Notamacropus eugenii: one gene and its partner. The protein of the gene in region 1 interacts with the protein of each later gene in a biochemical or structural test. Links are inferred from orthologs where the notes say so. Each region holds a gene or a part of one and is shown in the gene's direction. Other genes may lie near its edges.

The links.
Region 2: the proteins of TNKS (region 1) and AXIN1 form a complex in vitro, tested with the Homo sapiens proteins (2 studies listed by BioGRID). The link is inferred for Notamacropus eugenii from reciprocal best matches to the Homo sapiens genes TNKS and AXIN1.

Annotation. Positions count from the first base shown.
Region 1 is NC_092878.1:168,032,102-168,043,255, reverse strand, and holds the start of TNKS (poly [ADP-ribose] polymerase tankyrase-1), read left to right. Parts: upstream 1-6,060; 5' UTR 6,061-6,095; coding exon 6,096-6,771; intron 6,772-6,947; exon of another isoform or gene 6,948-7,317; intron 7,318-11,154.
Region 2 is NC_092872.1:54,635,375-54,645,852, forward strand, and holds the start of AXIN1 (axin-1), read left to right. Parts: upstream 1-5,890; 5' UTR 5,891-6,019; intron 6,020-10,478. UniProt on the Homo sapiens protein: Component of the beta-catenin destruction complex required for regulating CTNNB1 levels through phosphorylation and ubiquitination, and modulating Wnt-signaling.

The DNA of each region.
Region 1 (11,154 bases):
TGCACTAAATAGCCCAAGGGAAGCAGGGCAGACAGTTCTCTCATTCTCTCTGAAACACTTGTTCGATATAGAGCGTGACAGTCTGTCAAGGCTGGATGACTAGTTATCTGGCATTAGAACATCTTGGTCTGGAAAACGGGGGAGGGGGAGGAGGATAAGGATGCATTGGAAGAGCTCAGGAAAAAGAATCCTTTGAAAAGATGAGAGCTAATGAATGAATAAATGAGGAATGAATGAATGACTGATTGAATGAAGGCAAACACACCAGTGAAGCCCTTATGTGCCAGGTAGGGTATGTTAAGATCAAGGGATGCAAAGTCAGACCAAAAAAAAAAAAAAAAAGAAAAAGCAGTTCTTGCTTTAAAAGCTTGCTTTGGAATGAGGGAGGACAGGAGACTTTGGTCTAAGGTGTCCCAAGAATGGAATGAATGAATCATAGGGCAACTGACTGACAGGCTCCTTCCGGAGGGATGAAAGAGCTGATCTGATTGTTGTGCCCAGAGCAAGATGTCCTAGGGGAAAGGAGGGGATGAAATAAAGTGATCAACAGGATGGCCCAGGAGAAGCTGGGTCTGGGGAGATTGGGGGGGGGGGGGGGTATTGGATGGAGTGGGATCTTCCAACTGGGCCTGGCTCCTGCTGGGCATGGTCTCTGGAGGCCCCATTGAGGGGGGGACATAGCAACAGGGAGATATGGCTTCCTGGGGAAGGAATCACAGAATGGACTTTGAAAAACCCTCGTCTCACTTTGTTTGAGCACTCCTCAGGCATCACCCCTGTTCTGCTTTGCTATGTGTGCTATCCCCAAGGATTCCATCCTGGCTCTTCTCTCCTTTGGCACACATTCTTCCACAGAGATCTCATTATCCTTATGCAGATGACAGCCAGGTCTATATAGTCAGCTCACGTGTCTCTCCTGAACCCCAGTCCACATCTCCAACTGCCAGCCAAACATCCCTGCCTGAACATCCCACAGGCAGCTCAAACACATGTCCAGAACAGAACCCAGGTCCTTCACCAGAAATGCTGAAAATCATGAGAGACAGCAGCGGTTTGTGTTTACTAATTTGGACTAAACTCCCCAGTGTCTTGAGAAGGAAAGATGTGCATATCCAAGGAAGACAAGTTCATTTAGCTCCAGTCTGGGAGAGGGAAGGTCTCTACCTGTGTGTCTGTGTTTTCTTTTAAAACCCCCTTTAACTCGCAACCCAATTTTCTCTCAACCCAATAGTCTGAATAATTTTTAAAAAATATAATCCAAAACCTCATTTAGCATCTAAAAGACTTGGAAAGTTTATTTTTAATTGGGGGCTGAATCATTCATGATTAGTGACCTCATCATTGCAAATCTAATGACTTTTTCTCAGTCCTCATCCTTCCTGACCTCTCTGACCTCTGAACCTTTGAATATTGTGTTGGGAACCTGTGGATTGGAGAAGAGGCAATGCATTTCTGATGGCCTTGTTGAGGAAAGGCTGGAGTCATTGACTGACCGGCGCAGGGCTGTATGGGCTTCTTGCGCTGCAGTGCCATATAAAGGTGAAGGAGAAACCTCTCCAAGGTGCCTTCATGGCTCTGGTTGGAGAACAAGAAACAGAGAGATGCATTTTGCATCTTGTGGTGACCTGGGCTTCTCTGTGAGAAAAGGCTTGGAGATTATTGGATGAAGCAGAAACCCCTGAAAGTGGAAGTTCACAGAGGGTTTGTCACTACAACAAAGCAACACTTTCTCCAGGGAGAGTGCTTCATTTGCTTGAAAATACAAGAGCAGCTTTGTTTAGCGAGAGAGCATGGAGGACCAGAAGCGGAGAAATGGATCCACCACTGCAGATTGTTGCTACATAGACCAAGGACCTGAACAGGTAACAACCTGCAGTCCCAGACTTGTGGGGTTTCCTTATGTGTTTCCCTGTTAGGTTTCCGTAAGTACAGGTCCTGTCCTGCCCCTCCCCACCCTCTGTCGGCCTGCACCCATAGGTGGGAGACTGTCATATTTTACTTATTCTTCTTCATGCCTTCTGTTGAACAGATGATATGATGATTATTGCTTTTGCCTTGTTTAGTAAATGCTTTAGGTTTAAGGTTTGATGTGGCAAAAGTGGGAAGCCCTCTGGTGTGGATTCAGTACCCACTGTGGCCACTAGGAAGAGTGGACCCTTCCCCAGCCCACTCTACCCCCCACACACCAAGGATGTCCCTGGACTCTGAGAAAGTCTGGAGTTGTGTCAATGCAGTGTACACTGCTAGCATGGGTGCAGGTTTGGTGAGCCAGCCAGCCAGGGCACAGACCACCCAGACATGTAAATAGCAGCACAGGGCTAAGGTGACTTCACATTATTTAACAATCCCAGAAGAGTCCTTCCTTTTTCAGGAGATGTGTCTCCTAGTCAGTTCTCCCCAGGGCTGCTACATAATCTTCTGAGGAGATCCTTCTCGCTCTACTCCTACCCTGCTCAAAAAGCTTCAGTGTTTTCCTGTCACCAACAGTGGTTTTCTCACTACTCCTAGCAGCAACACTGTGCTTTTCTATGTTCCCATCACTTAGCCCATGGTACAAGTTGCATTTATTCACTCATCTCCCATGTCTGTGCTTTGCCTTGACTGCCCCCCATGCCTGGCATATGTTTCCTCCCCCACTCTCCTCTGTTTCATAAAACTACTTGATTCATCCAAGACTCAGTCCAAGCACTGCCTTCTATACCTGGCCTTTCCTGATCCCCCATGGCTACTGCCATCCTTCCCCAAACCCCATTGTATTTATTCTGTGTTTACTTATGTGACCACAGTGTGTCCTTCCTTCTTGAGAACTGGACTTGTTCTTTGAGGGGTGCTCAAAGATAGAGACAGGAGCCTCTATCCATCACCTTCGGCAGCATGTTGAGGAAAGACAGATCTGGGAAATGGACCATTGGCTTTTTCGGGGAATGCTAGGCATCCAGTTCTCTTCATACATCATATTTTTCATCTCACAATGTGCTGGGTTGATCATTCTTCTTTGTTATTGACAGGGGCATGAGTAGCAGGAAGAGAAGCATTGCTTTCAGCCTCTTTACTCAAAGGTGCCTAAAGAAGCAGGAGTCCATTCCAATCTGCCCACATTCTGAACCCAAAAGCAGTCTGGCCTGGCATGCCTGCCCCACAGGACTGTCGGGTAGGGACTGAAAGCAAGACAGACTCCTCATTGTATTATGAGAGTAAGAAAGGGAGTTACAGTCATTTGTAATGAGCTACATTTCATTTAGGGTAAACATTTTGTTCTGGGATGTAAATGAGAAGCTTTTGAATAGAGCAAGGACCAGCTCCAGGGAAATGAATTGACTATTAGCCAAGGCGTTAATGGTCACAGAAGCAGGGACACCATGTGCTCAGGAGCACGTGGTGGTCAGGAGGGAGATGAGGTAGCCACACACAATTCCTCCTCAACCCAGAAGCTCCCAACATTCTGTTCCACTTGAAAGTCACCAGGGAAGAGAGGAAAGATGAGAAAGGGATGATTCTTCCCTAAGCCAGTTAAGTTCCTTTTCTGTCATTAATACTTCCAGCTTTGCAGTCAACCAGAAAACCCTTCAGACTCTTTGTTAGTTACCTCCCAAAGGTGGCTCCTCAAGACTCTGTATGATGGGATGAAGCAGGGTCTGGGATCTTGTGCTTGCTCAGAGGACTAGACACTCATTGGGAAGACTCTCATTACATATAAAACTAGTGACTGAGATCGAGAGAGAACTGATGTACAAAAATGTACACACACATAGACCTTAGGCCATTCATTCCAGTACAGCACAAAAACTCATTCTCTAGCCTGTTTTCTTCCTTGCAAAATGGAAGCAAAAGACCTGCTCTGTCTCTACAAAAGTTTGATTATGCAGAAAGCATGTATACAAGGCCCTTTGTTTTGCACATCATGCAGAATGACTCCGACAGTTGATGGCCTGGTCTAGGATTATGTCAGATTCACCATTTAAACCAGCCTCCCAGCTGCTAATGCCATCCTCTCCCTGAAGTTGCCTGAAATTTATTTTGTTCATATTTGTGTACCTGTTGCATCCTAGTGGAGTGTAAGCTTCCTGAGAGCAGACTGAATCACAAAACATCGTGTTTCTAGATCTAAGCACATAGTAGGTCCTTACTGGAGGCAGAAAACCTGGGCTTGAATCCTGGCTTTCCAGCTTATGTCTTGGGAGGCATCGGTTCGGATCAGCCTCTCTGGCCCTCAGTTTCTCCCTCCTGCTCTTTTGACTGGAGGGGTTGTCATGATGTAATGGCTACAGCCCTAGATTTAAGAGGGTGCAAGGTCGGGTCTCGGATCCTTATTAGCGATGTCTGAGCGGCCACAAGCTGTCCGAACCCTCGTTTCCTCATCCCTAAAGAGGGCAGAAGGGCAGTACCTGCCTCCGAGGGGTGGGAAGGATCAGATGAGAAGCAGGCAAAGCGCTTTGCTCTGTATAAATTAGCCAGCAAGCACGTTCGGCACTGAGCTGAGCCTGGGAATTCCAAGGAGGGCAAAGGCCAGCCCCGACCTTGAGGAGCTGATACCCTAATGGGGGGGGGGGGGGGCCGGACCATACGCAGCTAAGCTCTAGACAGGGCGTTGGGCGCCCCAGCTCCCGCTGACTTGCCCCAGGTCGGGTCATTGATTCAGGATGGAGCAGAACGAGGACAGGAAGGCCTTTTCTTTACCTTCAAGACTCCTTCCATTCTCAAAGATGGAAGGGAACGAAGAAGAGGGCGAGGAAAGTCTGGTGTGGGGTACTGGGAGCCGCAGGGCGGGGAGGAGGGAGGGATGCCCGGGGCTGGGGGGCGCAGAACCTCCGGAGCCGTGGAGGGCTCCTAGCACCGCCAGGTGCGGCTCTGGCTCTCTGGACCAGTCCTGGGTAAGCCCTGCCACTCTCTGCGCTCCCGCAAGCCTGGTGCCCCCTCCCCCCCGCGCCTGGCACTGCCCCCAGGCCTTTCGTGACCCCCAGTGAGTGGGGGGCGTCGCTGGCGCTCGGGGATCTCTCGGCCCGCTTCCTGCAGCTCCCTGCACCCCAAGCCCTCCCGTAAGCGTTGGCGTCAGGGGCAGTCCCGGCCCGGGGCCGCAAGGGCTGGACCTCCGAGGTGGGGCGCCGGGCAGGAGCCAGGACCGCGGCCAGCCCAGGGAGCTCAAGGTCAAGGGGAAGGGCGCAAAAGAGGAAGCCGTCCGGGGAGAGTGGGAGCTCCCGGAGCCCGGTGGGGACCACCTGCCCGGAGCCGGGCCGACGCCGTTGGGCGACGTCGGGGCAAGGAAGGAGGTGATCCTCTGGCCCCGCCCCTGGAACGCTCCTCCCCCCAAAGCCCCGCCTCTTGGCCCCTCCCATCCTCCAGGAGGCGGCCCGTCTCCTTTCTGTCCTCCAGGGTTAACCCCTCCAGGGTTAAACCCCGCCTCCCCAGAGAGGTAGCCTTCTCCATTCGGCCCGGCTTGGACGGCTCCGCCCTCAGGTTTAAGCTCCGCCCCCTCCCTCCGAGAGGCCATTCACTCATTCCCCTGGGGCCCCGCCCTCCAGCGTTAAGACCCGCCTCCTCAGAGAGACGGCCCTCCCTGTATGGCTCCTCTCTCAGGATTAAGCTCCGCCTCTCCTCCTCTGAGAAGCGGTTCTCCTCTTTCGCTCATTCCTCCTTGGCTCCGCCTCCCAGGCTTAAGTCCCGCCTCCCCGGTGAGAAGACTCTCCTCATTCGTTCCTCCTGGGACGACTTCTCCCAGATTTAAGCTCCGCCCCCCCAATCTCTCCCATCCTTGGGGAGGTGGCTCTCCATTCGCCCCTTCACGGATGGCTCGTCCCTCCTGGTTCAGCCCCGCCCCCTAAACCGCTCCCATCCTCGAGGAGGGGGTCCTCGCCCTTCTCCTCCTTCCCCGCCCCTTAGGGCCCAAAGCCCGCCTCCCCGGAGAGGCAGCTCTCTCCATTCGCCCGTTTCCCGGAGGGCCCCGCCCTCTCCTTCCCGTCAGCTCTCGCGGCCGCGGCCGTTGCTTCCCTCGGCGTCCTCGCTTCCGCGGCCGCGGCCGCTGATTGGCCCCGGGCGGGCGGAAGTGGGGGTGGGCGCTGGCCCGGTTGCCGCAGTGACCGTGCGGAGGGAGTGGGGAGATGGCGGCGTCGCGTCGCTCTCAGCATCACCACCACAACCACCACGGGGGCCACCACCCGCCGCCGCCGCCGCCACCACCGCTGCCGCCGCCGCTGCCGCTGCCGCTGCTGCCGCCGGGCCCCGCCGGAGCGGCCCCCCCGCCGCCGCCGCCGCCCTCGCTGAGCCCCGGGCCCGCGTCCCCCGCGGCCTCCCCGCGCCACGGAGGCCTCTCGGCGCCTCCCGACGCGGACGGGCCCGGGCCCGGGGGCGGCGGCGGGGGCGGGCCGGGGCCTGAGCGGCCGCGCTCCCCCGAGCCCGCCGACAGCGCCGGCCCGGCCTCGGCCTCTGCTCCGGGGCCCGGGCCCTGCCCCTGCCCCGCGTCCTGCCCGGCCGCCGCCGCCGCCTCTGCCGCCTCGGTGTCCTCGTGCTCCTCGTCGGCCTCCTCGTCGTCCTCGTCCTCGTCCTCCTCGGCCTCCTCGGCCTCGTCGTCCCCCGGCTCGCTGGGGCCCAGCCCCTCGGACAGCCCCCCGGAGGCGGGCCCGGGCCCGGGGCCGGCCGTGAGCGGCGCCCTGCGCGAGCTGCTGGAGGCCTGCCGCAACGGGGACGTGGCCCGGGTGCGGAGGCTCGTGGACGCGGCCAACGTGAACGCCAAGGACCTGGCCGGCCGCAAGTCGTCCCCGCTGCACTTCGCGGCCGGTGAGGAGGAGGAGGGGGAGGGGCGGGCGGGCCGGCGGCGTAGACAGAGGCGCCTATTGAGGTCACGGGCCGGGCGGATCGGAACCTCCCCGGTGCCGCTGCGGCCTCCGCTCCCTGGGTTGTAGCCACGTGGGGGGGCTCCCGCGGCCGGGAGCGGGGATGCCCCGAAGCTGGGGGCTTGGGCAGCCCTTGCAGAGGCTTGCGGACCCCCTCCCAGGTCGGTCCTGGAGCGCCGCCGGGTGGGTGTCAGCGCGCTCCTGCACCCCTGCTGTGCCGCCGCTTCTCTGAGCGCTTCTTGGGCGCTTGCTGAGGTTACCCCGCCGGGGCAGTCTGCCGTGCCAGTGCACTCTTTCCTGCTCAGTGCCAGAAGCGTGGAGGACGTGGTGTAGACCAGGGTTCCCACGGCTAGGGAAGGGGCTGGCACCCTGCTGGGGGCCTGGGGCTGCAGAGAGAAAAGGGGAGGGTGCCTGCCAGCGGGAAGCCCAGCGGGTTGTGAGGGGACTGAAGCAGGAGAGATGCGGATTTGACTCTTGTTCCCTGAGAAAGGTGAGACGGAAGGGCAGGCGTCTGGGGGGCTGTAGTAGGACAAATGCCTGGAGAGCGTAATGCTTGGTTTGGGGTTTGGCTGGATGGGGGCTGAGCATCCACTCAGCCCACAGTATTGGAGGGGAGGGGGTGTGGGGTGTAAGGGCTGTTGTTGCTAGTGGGGATAGGCACACAGTGGCAGAGAAGGCGGCAAGGTGCCCATGTGGCGAGGCCCTGGGATGAAGCAATGTTGGGGTGTGTGGTCTGGGGCTGGCTCGATGGAGGGCTGAAGTAAGAATTGACTCACCTTCCATTCTTGGCAGCTCCCTGCGGACCAAACCTGAGTGTAAGTTCTCACATACCGGGCTGCATTAACAGGCAGGAGCCACTCCCTGATGGTTTTGGAGCATGGTAGTTACATGGACAGACCTGGGCAGTTTTGTGGAAGATGGGAAATGGATTGGGAGGATCTGAGAGTAGCCCAGGTCAGCCGTGATGAGAGTCAGAACTGGGGTAATGGAAATCGGAGTGAGAGAAAGAGATTGTAGAGACAAGATATGACAAGTCATTGATTACGGACAGTGAGGCAGTGGGGAGGGTCAGGAACTACCGAGGTCATTTACCTTTGTGACTAGGAGTTTGGATGGTAGTGCCCTTAGAGGATGGGGAAAGTGTGCTGAAGTTGGGTTCTAGAGGGGAGATGCTGACAGAACAGTCTTGTGGAAATATCCCACAGGAGTTTGTTCAGGAGACAGATAAGGATGGGTGTATGTGTGTGACATTGTAGCGATGGTAACTACCAATGGGAGTGATTTTGGAGTTTTAGGGAAAGGTTGGGAAGTGCAGGAGTGAGGTAGAGTCTGTCAGAGAGCAGTATGAGGATGGGGAGGTTGAGATAAGATACTGTGACTCTGTGTTGCATCTGGCAGCTTTTGTTGACTTCCCTAGGCAGTGTTCAGCAGCTCTAGGAGCCAGAACAGGAGGCCATGGTGGAAGTGAGGTGTGAACACTGTGTCTTGTTATGATGAACTATAGACTGAGAAGGAGGAGGGAGGGGCGATAGACTGTGGTGAAGACAGTTCAGGAGAGATGAGGCAGAGCAAGTGTTTGATGCCAGTCAGGAGAGGGATGTCAGCTTTCCAGATCCTAGAAGTGTTTCTGGATGACAGTGAGAGCACTTTGAGGTCTGACCACCTCTGTGAGTGACAAGGGGAATGAAGGAAGCTATGTGGAGGGTATAGGAGTTAAGATGGATCCAAGAAGCTGAAAGTGCCTGGGGAGGTAAAGCCTTTAAGTAATAAGAGGGTAGAGGCTGGGACCCAGACCATCTACTGAACATCTTGCAAAGGAGAGCGTGTGATCTTCGGAATCTTCCTAAGACAATTCAAATGGAAATGAATCTGTCTCCTGGCTTGGCCCTGATAGACTGTCCAGGTTTCATGGGCATACAACAGTGAGGTCAGCACATGGCTCTGTAGGCTGTCAGTTTGGTAGGCAGTTTGAATACCTCTCTTCTCTCACATTTTCTTTTGGACTCTCCCAGTCTCTGAGTTAGCTCTGGCAATGGATGCCTCAGCTTCATTCATGTGGACATCCCTGGAAAGTAGACTGCCAAAGTAATTGAATTAATCTCCAGCATTCTAAATTTCTCCATTTGCTGTAACTGATGGTTCCATGAGAGCATTGTCCATTATCCAGAACCTTGGCAAGCCTGCCATTATGAAATTGATGTACAATACTGATGAACTTCTGGCAACCAGATTTCTCCATGATCCTTCCTGGACCCTCACAACTGACAGTATCAAAGGTCTTGGTTAGGTCAAATGCACATTGTTTCTAGGCTTCTCTCTTCTGCCCCTGGCTTTTCTTCTGGGCAGCAGATACCATGTCTGCCAAGCTTTGGTCCTTTCTGAAGCCACACTGGCCCTTGGGTAGATGACCGTCTTCCAGGTGAAGGATCAGTCAGGTGAACAGTCTTGCCCCCTCTCAGGATAACCTATTGCCTTTTTCCAGAACTCATGAGAGAGACTAGGGCTAGCTGGAGAGGAACTGGTAGGAGTCACGGTTTCCTAAATCCGGAGCCAGAAAGAGACCTGAAAAGATCTGATTGATCAACTGTCCAGTCACAGGAAACTGGGGCCTCCGCATTAAAGTGACCATGGCCAAGGCCAGTCAGGTAAATAGGCATCAGCATTATTTGCATAGAGAAGATAATTAAGCCCTGAAGCATTCTAGACTTTACCTGGGGGAGTAGAAGAGATGGAGGAAGAAGAGGGCCTTGGGGAATATTCCCAGTTAAGGCAGATGGCACCGATGATGATTCAGCAGAGACAGGGGCTATTGTACCACGGAAATAGGGAGGAGAATCAAGACTAGAGAGGAGAGAGTAACCCGACGAAAAGTTGATCAGCAGTGCAGTTGATCAGCAGTGCGGAGGGCTTCGGAAAAGGCCAGAAGCAGGAGGACTGGCCTTTGTTTATTGGTGACTTTGGAAAGGGCAGTGAGGAGGTTGGAAGCCAGATTGGTACAAATTACTCAAGATGGCCTAATAGGAGAATTGCTTGGTAGGTCAGTGAATAAATCAGGTGGTGATTAGATTAGAGCCAGGAGAGAAGGATAGAAATAAATGAGTACATTTAGATGGGAAGTTGCAGTCTATAAAGTTCCCTCGGGATGGGTGGTATCCTCATTTTGCAATAACTTTTATTATTTGTTTCCATAACCTTCCTTTAAACCCCTTCCTTTTCTCCACTGCATCCAGCCTGCTGGTCATAGGAGTTCAGTGGTTTAGTAGCAGAGCAGATGAATGATGTTTTCAGTGCCAGGCTTGGAGATGTCCATAGACTTGTTGGCCTTTTGGTCATCATGTGAGCACGAGATTGAGGTTTTAAATGTTTACCAACTGAATTGAAATGACTGGCAAAGGCCATGGAGTCCAGCCCCTGCCCCAGCAGTTTGTAACAGCTGTGACAAGAATGTCAGCCTAAGGTGCTCAGCCCACTTATGGACAACCCAGTCCTTCCTGGGGAGGTTTTTGGTACACTGAACCAGAATCTACTTCTGTAGCTTCTGTCTGCTTATTCCTATTTCTGTCCTCTGGGTTTAAGCGCACGTCTGATCTATTTTGAAGTATAAGAGATCTACTGGAGGCAACGTGGCATAAAGCCAGCTGGACACAGTGGGTGGAGCCCAGGGCCTGGGATCTCCAAGGCCTGCAGAATAACAGTAAGAACCATAGCTATTATTATTTGCATTTTCTTTAAAAAAATTTTTCCCAATTACATGTAAAAAATTTTTAGTATTCGTTTTAAAAATTTTGAGTTCCAAATTCTATCATTCTCCTTTCCCCCTCCTCCCTCTTTGAGAAGGCAGGCAGTTTGATATGGATTATGCATGTGTAATTATGCAGAACATTTCCATATTAGCTACGTTCTACAAGAAAATGCAGACCAAAAAGAACAAGAAAGAAAGAAAAATAAAGTGTGGTTTAATCTCTTGGTTCTTCCTCTGGACGTGGATGACATTTTTCATGCTCAGGCTTTTGGAATTGTCTTGGATCATTGTATTGCTGAGAAGAGTGCAGTGCAATGTTGTTACTATGTGCAGTGTTCTCCTGGTTCTGTTCACTTGACTTTGCACCCGTTCTTATCAGTCTTCCCAGGTTTCTGAAAGCGTCCTGCTTGTCATTTCTCGTAGCACAACAGCGTTCCATTACATCCATATACAATAGCTTGTTCAGCCATTCCTCAGTGAATGGGCATCCTTTCAGTTTCCAGTTCTTGCCACCACAAAAAGAACTGATACAAAGAAGTCCTTTTCCATTTAAAAAAAAATCTCTTTGGGATACAGAACTAGTAG
Region 2 (10,478 bases), on another chromosome or scaffold:
TCCTAACAATTGTTTTAATCTCCTCTTCATTGGTGATGAATTTACCCTTTATATTTTCAATACTAGTAATTTGGTTTTCTTCTTTCCTTTTTTTTTAAAAATCAAATGAACCAGCTGTTTATTTTATTGGGTTTTTTCCTATAAAATTAGACTCTAGTTTTATTTATGAGTTTGATGGTTTTTGTATTGTCAATTTTATTAATGTCTCCTTTGATTTTCAGAATTTCCAATTTGGTGTTTAATGGGGGATTTTTAATTTTTCTTTTCCTAGTTTTTTTTCATTGCATGCCCAATTCACTGATCTGCCTTTTCTGTATTTTATTTATGTAAGCAATTAGAGATATAAAATTTCCCCTAAGTACCACTTTGACTGAATCCCATAAATTTTAGTATGTTGTCTCACTGTTGTCATTTTCTTTAATGAAATTATTGATTGTTTCTATGATTTGTTCTTTGACCCACTTATTTTTTAGGATTAGATTATTTAATTTCCAGTCAATTTTTAATCTCTCTTTCCATTTTCCATTATTGAATGTAATTTTTATTGCATTATTATCCGAAAAGGATGTATTTACTATTTCTGCCTTTCTGCATTCAGTTGTGATGTTTTTATGTCCTAATACATGGTCAATTGTTGTGTAGGTGCCATGTATTGCTGAGAAAAAGGTATTTTCCTTTCTATTTCCATTCTCCAGAGATCTATCATATCTAACTTTTCCAGAATTTTATTCACCTCCTTAACTTTTCTTGTTTATTTTTTGGTTAGATTTATTTAGTTCTGAGATGGGAAAGTTGAGGTCCCCCACTTAGTATAGTTTTATTATCTATTTCCTCCTGTAACTCATTCAACTTCTTCAAAAATTTAGATGCTATACCATTTGGTGTATATATTTAATATTAATATGACTTCATTGTCTGTGGTACCTTTCAGTAAGATATAGTTTCCTTTTTTATCTCTTTTAATTATACCTATTTTTGATTTTGTGTTTTTCTGAGATCATGATTGCTACTTCTGCTTTCTTTGCTTCAGCTGAAGCAGAATAGATTCTGCTCCAATTCCTTACTTTTACCCTGTGTATATCTGTCTGCTTCATATGTGTTTCTTGTAAATAACATATTGTAGGATTCTGATTTTTAATTCATTCTACTATCCACTTTCATTTTACGGGAGAGTTCATCCCATTCGCATTTATAGTTATGATGACTAACTGTATATTTCCATCCATGCTATTTTTCACTTGTTAATTCCCATCTCTCTTTTACACTTCACCCTTCCCTCTTCACAAGTGTTTTATTTCTGATCACCACCCCAATATACCCCCTTTTTTATCAGTCCTCCCCTCCCCCTTCTATTATCTCTGTCCCTTTTTACTTCCTTATAGGGTAAGATAGATTTCTATATCCAACTAAATGCGTGTTATTCCCTTTTTGAGCCAGTTTTGATGAGCGTAAGGTTTAAGCTTTGCTGGCCATTCTTTTTCCTCCCCCCCTACCTCCCCACCCCTACCCCAATCTACCCCTCCATTATAATAGCTCTTTCATGCCTCTTTTATGGGAGATAATTTATCCCATTCAGTCTCCTCCTTCCTTCTTCCAGTGCAATTTTCTTTCTCACTCCTTTATTTTGTTTTCTTTTGGGGGAGTATCATCCCATCAAAATCACCTTCTATCCACCCCCTCTCTCTACATATGCTCCTTACTTAAAGATATTAAGAGTTACAAATATTATCTTGACATATAGAAAAATAAACAGCTTAACCTTAGTGAATTTCTTTTGTTTTCTCTTTCTTGTTTACCTTTTTATGTTTCCCTTGAGTCTTGTATTTGGAGGTTAAATTTTTTATTCAGCTCTCATATTTTAATTAGAAATGCTTGAAAGTCCTCTATTTTTTTTAATATCCATTTTTCCCCTGGAAAGATTATATTCAATTTTGCTGGGTAGGTGATTATTGGTTATAATCCTAAGTACTTTGCCTTCTGGTATATCATATTCTAAGCCCTCCAGTTCTTTAATGTGAAAGCCACCAAATCCTATGTAATTCTGACTGTAGCTCCACAATATTTGTATTGTTTCTTTATGGCTGCTTGCAATACTTTCCCCTTGATCTGTGAACTCAAGTATTTGACTATGATGTTCCTGGGAATTTTCATTTTGGGATCTCTTTCAGGCAATCATTGGTGGATTCTTTCAATTTTTGTTTTGCTCTCTGGTTGGTCTAGGGCAGTTTTGTTTGATAAATTCTTGAAAGATGTTGTCCTGGCTTTTTTTTTTGATCATGGCTTTCAGTTGATCTAGTAATTTTTATATTATCTCTCCTGGATCTATTTTCTAGGTCATTTGTTTTTCCAGTGAGAAATTATACATTTTCTTCTATTTTTCTTTTACTTTTTTGATTTTGTGTTATTGTATCTTGATGTCTCATAGAATCATTAGTTTCAACTTGTTCAGTTCTAATTTTTAAGGAATTTTTTTCTTCAGTGAACTTTTGTACTTCCTTTTCCATTTGACCAATTCTGTTCCTTAGGGAGTTATTTTCCTCAGTAAATTTTTGTATATTTTTTCCCATTCTATTGACTCTTCTTTTCATGATTCTTTTGCATTACTCTCATTCCTTTCCCCAATTTTTCTTCTGCTTCTCTAATTTGCTTTTTAAAAATCTCTTTTAAACTTTTCCAGGAATTCTCTTCGGGCCTGAGACCAAATTACATTTTCCTTTGAGTCTTCACACATAGCGATTTTGACACTATGTCCTTTTCTAAGTTTATGTCTTGATCATTCCTATCACCATAATACTTTTCTATTTTCAAGCTCTTTTTTGTTTTTAACTCATTTTTTCTTGTTGCCTCTCCCCACCCCACCCCTCACCACACTTTTTCTGTGACTTGGTGTTTTTATGTGAGAGTTGTCCTCTGGTTCTGCACTGTCCCAAGGTTTTTGCACTAGGGCTCTAGGTTTTACTCTTGGCTTTCACTGGGCTTCAGGGCTTAGAAGATGCTTGTCTTTCCTGGAACGTAGGCTTCCCTTATGGCTTTCACTAGGAGGTAGGCCTTCCTTGTTGACCAAGTGTGGAATTTAGCTGCTGGCCTGCCCCAGGGGTGGGGTCCTATTGCTGGGTTGCTATTGAAACAGGGTCTCTCTGCTGGTAGGCCCCTGGGACAGGGTCTCAGTGTTAGGCAGCCCCAGGGTAGGGCTTCAGTACTGGTCAGCAATGGGGTCAAGGCCTGGCTGGTGGCTTGTGCTTTGGGGGATAGGGCTGTGCTTCTCAGTATAGACTGCTTAACTTGCCTGGGGGGCTGCTGACTTGCAGGAGGGTGGAGCCTCCTAGGTAGATTTGCTGCAGGTCTCCTTCTGTGAGGCTGGCTGCTGCTGCTACTGTTCTTAGACCTCGCTCCGCTCCCACCCCAGTGAGACAGACCTTTCCTGCTGTGCTGGTAAGCTTCTTTCCTGCTCCTGGGTCAATTCTGAGGTGGTTTTCTAGTTGTTTCGAGGGGAATTTGGGAGGACTTCAGATGGTTCCTTCCTCACTCTGCACTAAGTCTGTAGATGTCTTAAGATTCCATGCTGAGGAAGTTTGTGTTTCTCTTAGAGGCAAGAGAGTTGTTAAAGATTTTTGAGAAGAGATATGTGAGCCATGGCCTTTATTTTAGGAATTTTGGTTTGACAACTCTGTTGAGGATGGATTTGAGAGGGGAGAGTTTGGAAGCTTTGAGATCAATTAGGAGGCTTTTGCCATAGTCCACGTGAGGGGTAATGAGAATCTGAATTAGGGTGATGATCTTGTGAAGTGTGAGAAGGGGACTGATGGCAGAGATGTTATGAAGGCAGTATTAACAACTGATAGGGTATGGGGATTGAGGGAGAGGGAGGACTCAAGGATCATACCAGTGGTATCAGTCTTGGATGACTGAAGTGACAGGGAAGTTTAGAGGGATGTATTTTAGGAAAATGAGCATCTCGTTTTAGGTAGAGATGTCCTGTAGATAACAGAATATGTAGCATTGGAACCTGGAAGAGACATCAATTCTAGATACATAGATTTGAGAAACTGCAACAAGATGATAATTGATCCCATGGGAGTTGATCAGGACATTAAATAGATAGAAAGAACAGAGCCCACTTAATGGGCAAAGAAGGTGATGATGATCTAGCAAAAGAGTTTGAAATGAACTATTTAGAATTCTAGAAGGAGAACTAAAAGAAAACTGTGTCAGGAGCCAGTGGCATAGTGGATAGCGTACTCAATTTGGCATCAGAAAGACCTGGGTTCTAACCCTACTTTAGATACTTGATGACTTCCACCCTGGGCAAGTCACTTACCTTCTCTGTGTGGCTATTTCCTCTTCTCTAAAATAAAGCTGGACTAGCTGCCCACTCAGGACTAGCTGCCTGCTCAGTTCCTTTCCAGCTCTAATTCTATGATCCCAGGTAATTCAAGGGAGGAGAGAAGGAAAGGGGAAGAAAGGGATTGTCAGGTCCAAAGCTTCAGAGAGATCAAGTAGAATGAGGACTGAGAAAAGGCCCTAGATCTAGTAGATATCCTTGGTAAGAGCAGTTTATTGAGGGCTGGGGTCAGAAGTAGAAATGCAAGGTACTCAGAACTGAGTGGGAAGGGAGGAAATGGATATAGGGAGTTTATCTTGGAAAAGGAGAAGAGAAGTTGGTCTGTAGCTTAATAGGTATGGATGGATAGCTTGAGGGGAAGTAGTTATCAAATGAAGGTTTGTGTGTGTGTGGTTTTGTTTATTTTGTTCTGTTTTTAGGATGTGTGAAACCTGGATCTTTTAGTAGGAACAACTCAGTGGATAAGGAGATACTGAAGGTGCGAGGGAGAGGGAGCAGTCACTTCTGGAGGATATGGTGACAAGACTACAAGTTGCAGGGTTATCTGCAACTGGGACAAAAGAAAAGATAACGGGGGATAAAGAAGAAAAGGGATTTCGGGGTATGGAGGAGAGAAGAGGAAGCTTAGGATGGATGCCCTTTCTTCTCTCCACCTTTCCAGTTCATCTCCGGGCCTCTGCTAACGTTCCTGGCCATCTTTCCTTGCCGCCCTTCTCCTCCTCTGCCTTCCCTCCAGTGTCTTCCTTTCCTTCTCATCTCCCCCCTTTTCTTTCTTTCCCTCCTTCACCTTCTCCTTCCCTTTCCCTCTCATCTCCCCCCCTTTTCTTTCTTTCCCTCCTTCACCTTCTCTTTCCCTTTCCCTCATATTAGGACTCGTAGTGGAAGAGACCATTGAGGTGCATTTCACAGCTGAGCAGACGGAGGAGCGGTGACCTGAAGGGACCCTGCCCAGGTTACCAGGCTCGCTGGAGCTTTGCAGAAGCTCGTCTCTTCTGCACAGCCGCACTCCCTCTCCTTTTCCCCTTCCTTCCACCTCCCGCCGCGTTCCTTCAGCCCCTCCTCCCACTACTGGAGCTCCTCCCTCGTCTCTCCCTCCCTCCCCCGCCGCACACTTGCCCCGCCCCCAGTGCGCGTCCCCTCTCGGGGCCCCGCCCCGGCCCCCGCCCCCGCCCGGGGCCTCCCCCGCAATTCTCGGCGGCGCCGAGGGTGGCGCTCTGGGCTCGAGCTGAAGCTCGCTGGGCTCGGGGGCTCGGGCTCCCGGCTCGGGCGGCAGGAACCGCGGCAGGAGCAGCCACAGCGGGCAGGGGCCGCCTCCGCGGGGCCGGGGCCGGGGCCGCAGCCGGAGCGCCGGAGGAGGGGCCCGGAGTACGGGCCTGGCACGGGGAGCGGAGGCGGCGGAGGCAGAAGCCAGAGCGCGGGCGGGGCAGGAGCGGGCCGGGCCGGGCCGGGCGGTCGGCGCAGCCCGGGCTCTGCTCGGGCTCGGCTCCGGCTCCGCGCCCCAGCCCGCTGACCTCGCTCCACGGGCCTCCTTCCCCGTCCCGGAGGCAGCCGCCGCCGCCATGGGGAGCGCCCGGGGCCGCGCCCCCGCCCCGTCCCGCCCGCCTGGTCTCCTCTGAGCCGCATGGGCCGGGCCGCCCGCCCGCCCCGGGACCGGGACCCGCCGCCGCCGCCGCGCGGGTGAGTGGGGAGCCAGGCCGGGCCGGGCCGGGGCCGCGCATTCCTGAGGGGGGAGGCCGGGCAGGGGCCGCGGGGCGCGGGGCAGGCCCGGACCCGGAGCGGAGCCCGCCGGCCCAGGAGCCGGGCCCATTGTAGGGAGCTCGGTGGCCGCAGGGGAGGTCGGGGCCCCGCGCTAGGCCCGGCCCGGCTGGAGGGAGCGCGAGTCCCAGGGAGGGAAAGAGAGGGAGGAGGGGAGCTGGGGAGAGGAAGAGAGGAGGGACCTGGGGTCTGGGGGTGTCTGGGAGGGAGAACCTGGGGTCTGGAGGTGTCTGGAAGGGGGAACCTGGGGTCTGGGGGTGTCTGAGCGGAGAGGGGAGGGGGGACCTGGGGTCTGGGGGTGTTTGGGGAGAAGAGAAGGGAGGGGAGACCTGGGGGTCTGGGGGTGTCTGAGAGGAGGAGAGGGGAGAGGGTACTAGGGGTCTGGGGGTGTCTGAAAAGAGAGGGAAGGGAAGACCTGGGGGTGTCTGAGAGGAGGGGGAGACCTGGGAATGTCTGAGAAGAGGAAAGAGGGGAGACCTGGGGGTATCAGGGACGGGGAGAGGGGAGGAGGGACCTGGGGGGTGTCGGAGAGGAGGAGTGGGGGAGGGGGGGGTATCTGGAGTCTAGGGGTATCTGAGAGAAGAGGGAAGGGGATACCTGGGGGTATGGGGGTGTCTGAGGGAAAGAAAGGGGAGGAGATGTAGGGGTGCTTGAGAGGAGAAGGAAGGGTACCGGAGGGAGGGAGAGGGAGGAGAAAGGAGGGGGAACCAGGAAGTGCCTGAGAGGAGAGGAAAGGGGGGGACCTGGGGCATGCCTGAGAAGTCGGAATAGGGCACCTGCATATGCCTGAGAGTGATGAGGAGACCTGGAAACGTTTAAGGATAGAAAATGAAATTTGGGAGTGTCAGGAGACGGGGATGCTGAGGCCAAAGAGCAGCACAGGACTTGCTTACGAGTTTGTAAGGTCAGGATGTCATAGAGGTGTAGGTGGTGTGAGAAGGCTGAATGATGATTCTGGAGGTGAGTATGAAAATGTAGGATAGAAAGGGAGAGAATGTGGCAGAGGCCAAAGCAGTTTATGAAGTATAGCTAGTTGTGTGTATGTAAAATAGGATAGAGGAATTTACATGTGGAGGGCTATTTGAGCAGAAGGCTTTGAATTCACCCACTGCCCAACCTTGTCCTCTGCGCCCCCCCTACAAAAATAAAATTTCCAGAGTGAGGAAAATCTCTAGTTGTGAAGGGGGAGAGATGGTGGAATGTATCTGCATTTAAATGTAGAGAAATGTGAAGAAGAGGGGGTCCAAATAAGGAAATCTGAGGATAGAGTAGAGCCGGTGTCCAATTGGAGTCAGTCCCATAGGTGTGTGTGTGGGGGAGGATTGAAGAAGACAAGTGAGAAGAGGATACCTAATGTGAGGCAAGTTGGAGATTTGTAGAATGATTGTTAGAATCCCAGAATTAGACCTAAAGGAGGGATATTAAGAGATTGTGGCATAGAAATAACCCCAAATTGGAGCAGAAATACTGTTGTTTTTCTGTACAACGTGTAGTACTAGATGTGGTTTGACCTCAGAATTCAGGGGTTGCCCCTTGCTTCTGTAACCTTCCAAGACAACAGGTAACAAACCTAACTTTGTAGCCACGGACTAAACCTCACCTAGCGTGATTTTTTTCTTTAGGAGTCCCACTCCCAGCCTGCCGTCTCACCCCCTCTGCCCCTCCCCCCCCAGGAAACCTTAGGAATATGCAGTCTCAAAACCAGTGTTAGAGGGAGTCAGTAAAACTTTAACTTCTGAAGAAAAAAGAGTAAATACATCAATACTTCAGCGGTTTCATTCAGCCCAAATCTAAAATATTTTTACAAAGGGTTTTTATTGTGGAGATTAGCTTTTTTTTTTGGGGGGGGGGGGGGCTGCACAATAAGGTTCTGTGCTTCTCCCTGCAGGAAGTATTTCAAGTTCACTTGGATCCACAGGCCCTTCTACAGGAGTTCACCTGTAGTCTGGTTGGGTGGGAAACTGTATCTGACCTGAAACAATGTGTAAGAATAGCTCAGTTCCAATTCTAAGAAATTCAGCTGAGGGAAAAGGTTAGGATGTCACTTAAAAGACCATGTTCCTGTTTGATTTTCAGTAGCTTTGAATTGTCATCCCTTGCTCTGGTTTGAAATATGTTCTTGGGCTTTTTCTGTGGTGGGAGAATCAAGTTAGTGATCATATCACTTTTTAAAGAGTCCAGACACCTGGTACTCAGGAAAGGAGCTTATGCAATCCTTAAATTATAAAGGCATATCAGACTTTTAAAAGCACATTCCTTTCAAGGGAGAACTTTGTTGTTGGAGGTTACAGGCTCTGAGCCAGATTGCATATCTGTGGTTACTTTATTCTAGCATGAATTAATTTTACTGCATTTATTTATTTATTGAATGAGTGAGTGAGTGGACTTTGTATTGATTTACTTCTGTGTTGGAGACCTGAGAATCAAAGAATAGTGTTTTACCAGTCTACAGATTTGGTGGGGAGTGTTTTCCTTTTGGTACTTGTAGAGACAGCAAGGGTCTCCTGCCTTGTGTTAATTGACAACCCTTGTAAGTGGAAAGAATCTGAAATATTTCATTTGTGTGGAGAAAGATAAGTTTAACATGATCATAGAATGTTAGAGCAGAAAAAGAAGAGGAGGGTGATCTAGTCAAACTCCTTCTTTTGACAAATGAGGAAACTGAAGCCCCAAGTGGTTAAGTACTTTGCCCAAGGTCACGCAGTTCATTAGTGGCAAAACCAGGTTACAACCTAGGTCTTCTGATTCCTAGTCTAGTGTTCCTTCCATTATCCCATATTTGTTTTGGTGTATTTGATAAACACTTGATTCCTGTATTGATGTTGTAACAGTTTCAGCTTTGTAATGAAACATTTGATGGTAATTTTGTTACCATTTCCATAATATAGTTGAAGAAAGTTATGAGATCTTTAATAAAGAGGAATGTCCAAAGTTAAACATTTAGAAATTTCACTTAAAACAAATAATTTGACAAATATTTGTTGAAACTCTGCTTTATGCAAAGCACTGATATATTGTAAATTAATAAGATTTATTGAGGACCTTTTAAATTCACCGTGCTGTGGAGCACAAGTAGAAAACAAATACAAAACAAGATATGCTCAGATTAAATTGCAAGACAAGCTTTAGAAAGAACTGTAGAAAAGCAATATGTATAGTAGAAAAAACACTGAAATAGAAGTTGGGAAGTTTGGGATTCTAAGCTCTTTTGCTCCCTCTTTGTGTTATGTTGGGCAAGTCACTTCTCTTTTTTTGGTCCTCATTTTCCTGATTTGTAAGGTAGAGATAATAATCTTGTCACTACCTACCTCACAGGGTTGTTGTGAGGATCAAATAAGATAATAGATATTAAACACATAACTACAAAATGCTATTGTAAATTACCTATCAGTAGTCATGTATTGCAGAAGGTGTTGTGGGACAGCATACAATCATCAAACATTTTAGGGAGTAATTTAGCAATTACGCTTTTATTGTTCAGGCATTTCTTGAGGATTGCAGCACTTCTAGTATATTCTAATTCATGGGTGGCTAATTGCCTTGGCCCTCTTGCACAAGATGGCATTGTGGACAATAGTACATTACATATTGATAGCCCAGTGAAATCTTTTGCACATAGGTGCTCAGTAAATGTGAACTGGTTGAAAAAATTAATTTTCAATTGAAGTGGTCTCTGAGCAGCTGGATACCAAAACATGGAGAGATTTGACCTTAAGAAATTGGCTTTTCCTGCTGAGATGGAGATTATAGCACAGCCAATCATTTTTTAGAAATCATTAGCAGCAGAAATGCCATTTGGGTCATATAATTGTGACCTAAGTCACATTTATCAGTGGCACTCACTCCTAGCCATCTGTGAGTGCCCTGTTCTGTATCTCAGGCAAACAAAATGATGCCTTCATAAATATAGATTTCCATGGAGAGCCATGCAAATGGGTGAAAGAAGCAGAAGAAGAGACAACATAGTATTGTGGAAAGAGCATTGGACTTGGTTGTAATCTTGGTTCTAACTTTTTGACTTAAGACAAATTTCATTATTTTTCTTGTGTCACTTTTTTCATGTATCAAATGGGGATTAATAATACTTGTACTTACTACCTCATAGGGGTGTTGTGAGGAAAAGGATTTATAAACTGTAAAGTATGATAACTTTGTACATATACTAATTTTCTTTAGGTCAACCTTGACTTTTAAAGGTTCTGGCCATGGTTCATTTGCAAAGCTGCTTGAGATCTGCTTTATAAAGCAATGATCTCTCTTTCAGCACTTGACCCACTTTAAATGTCAAAAATATGTGGTCAGACCACATGGGAATTTTACAAGTCATCAACCCAGTATTTGGCTCAGCACCAGAGTAGGTGGCACTGGTGGACTTGGGCTT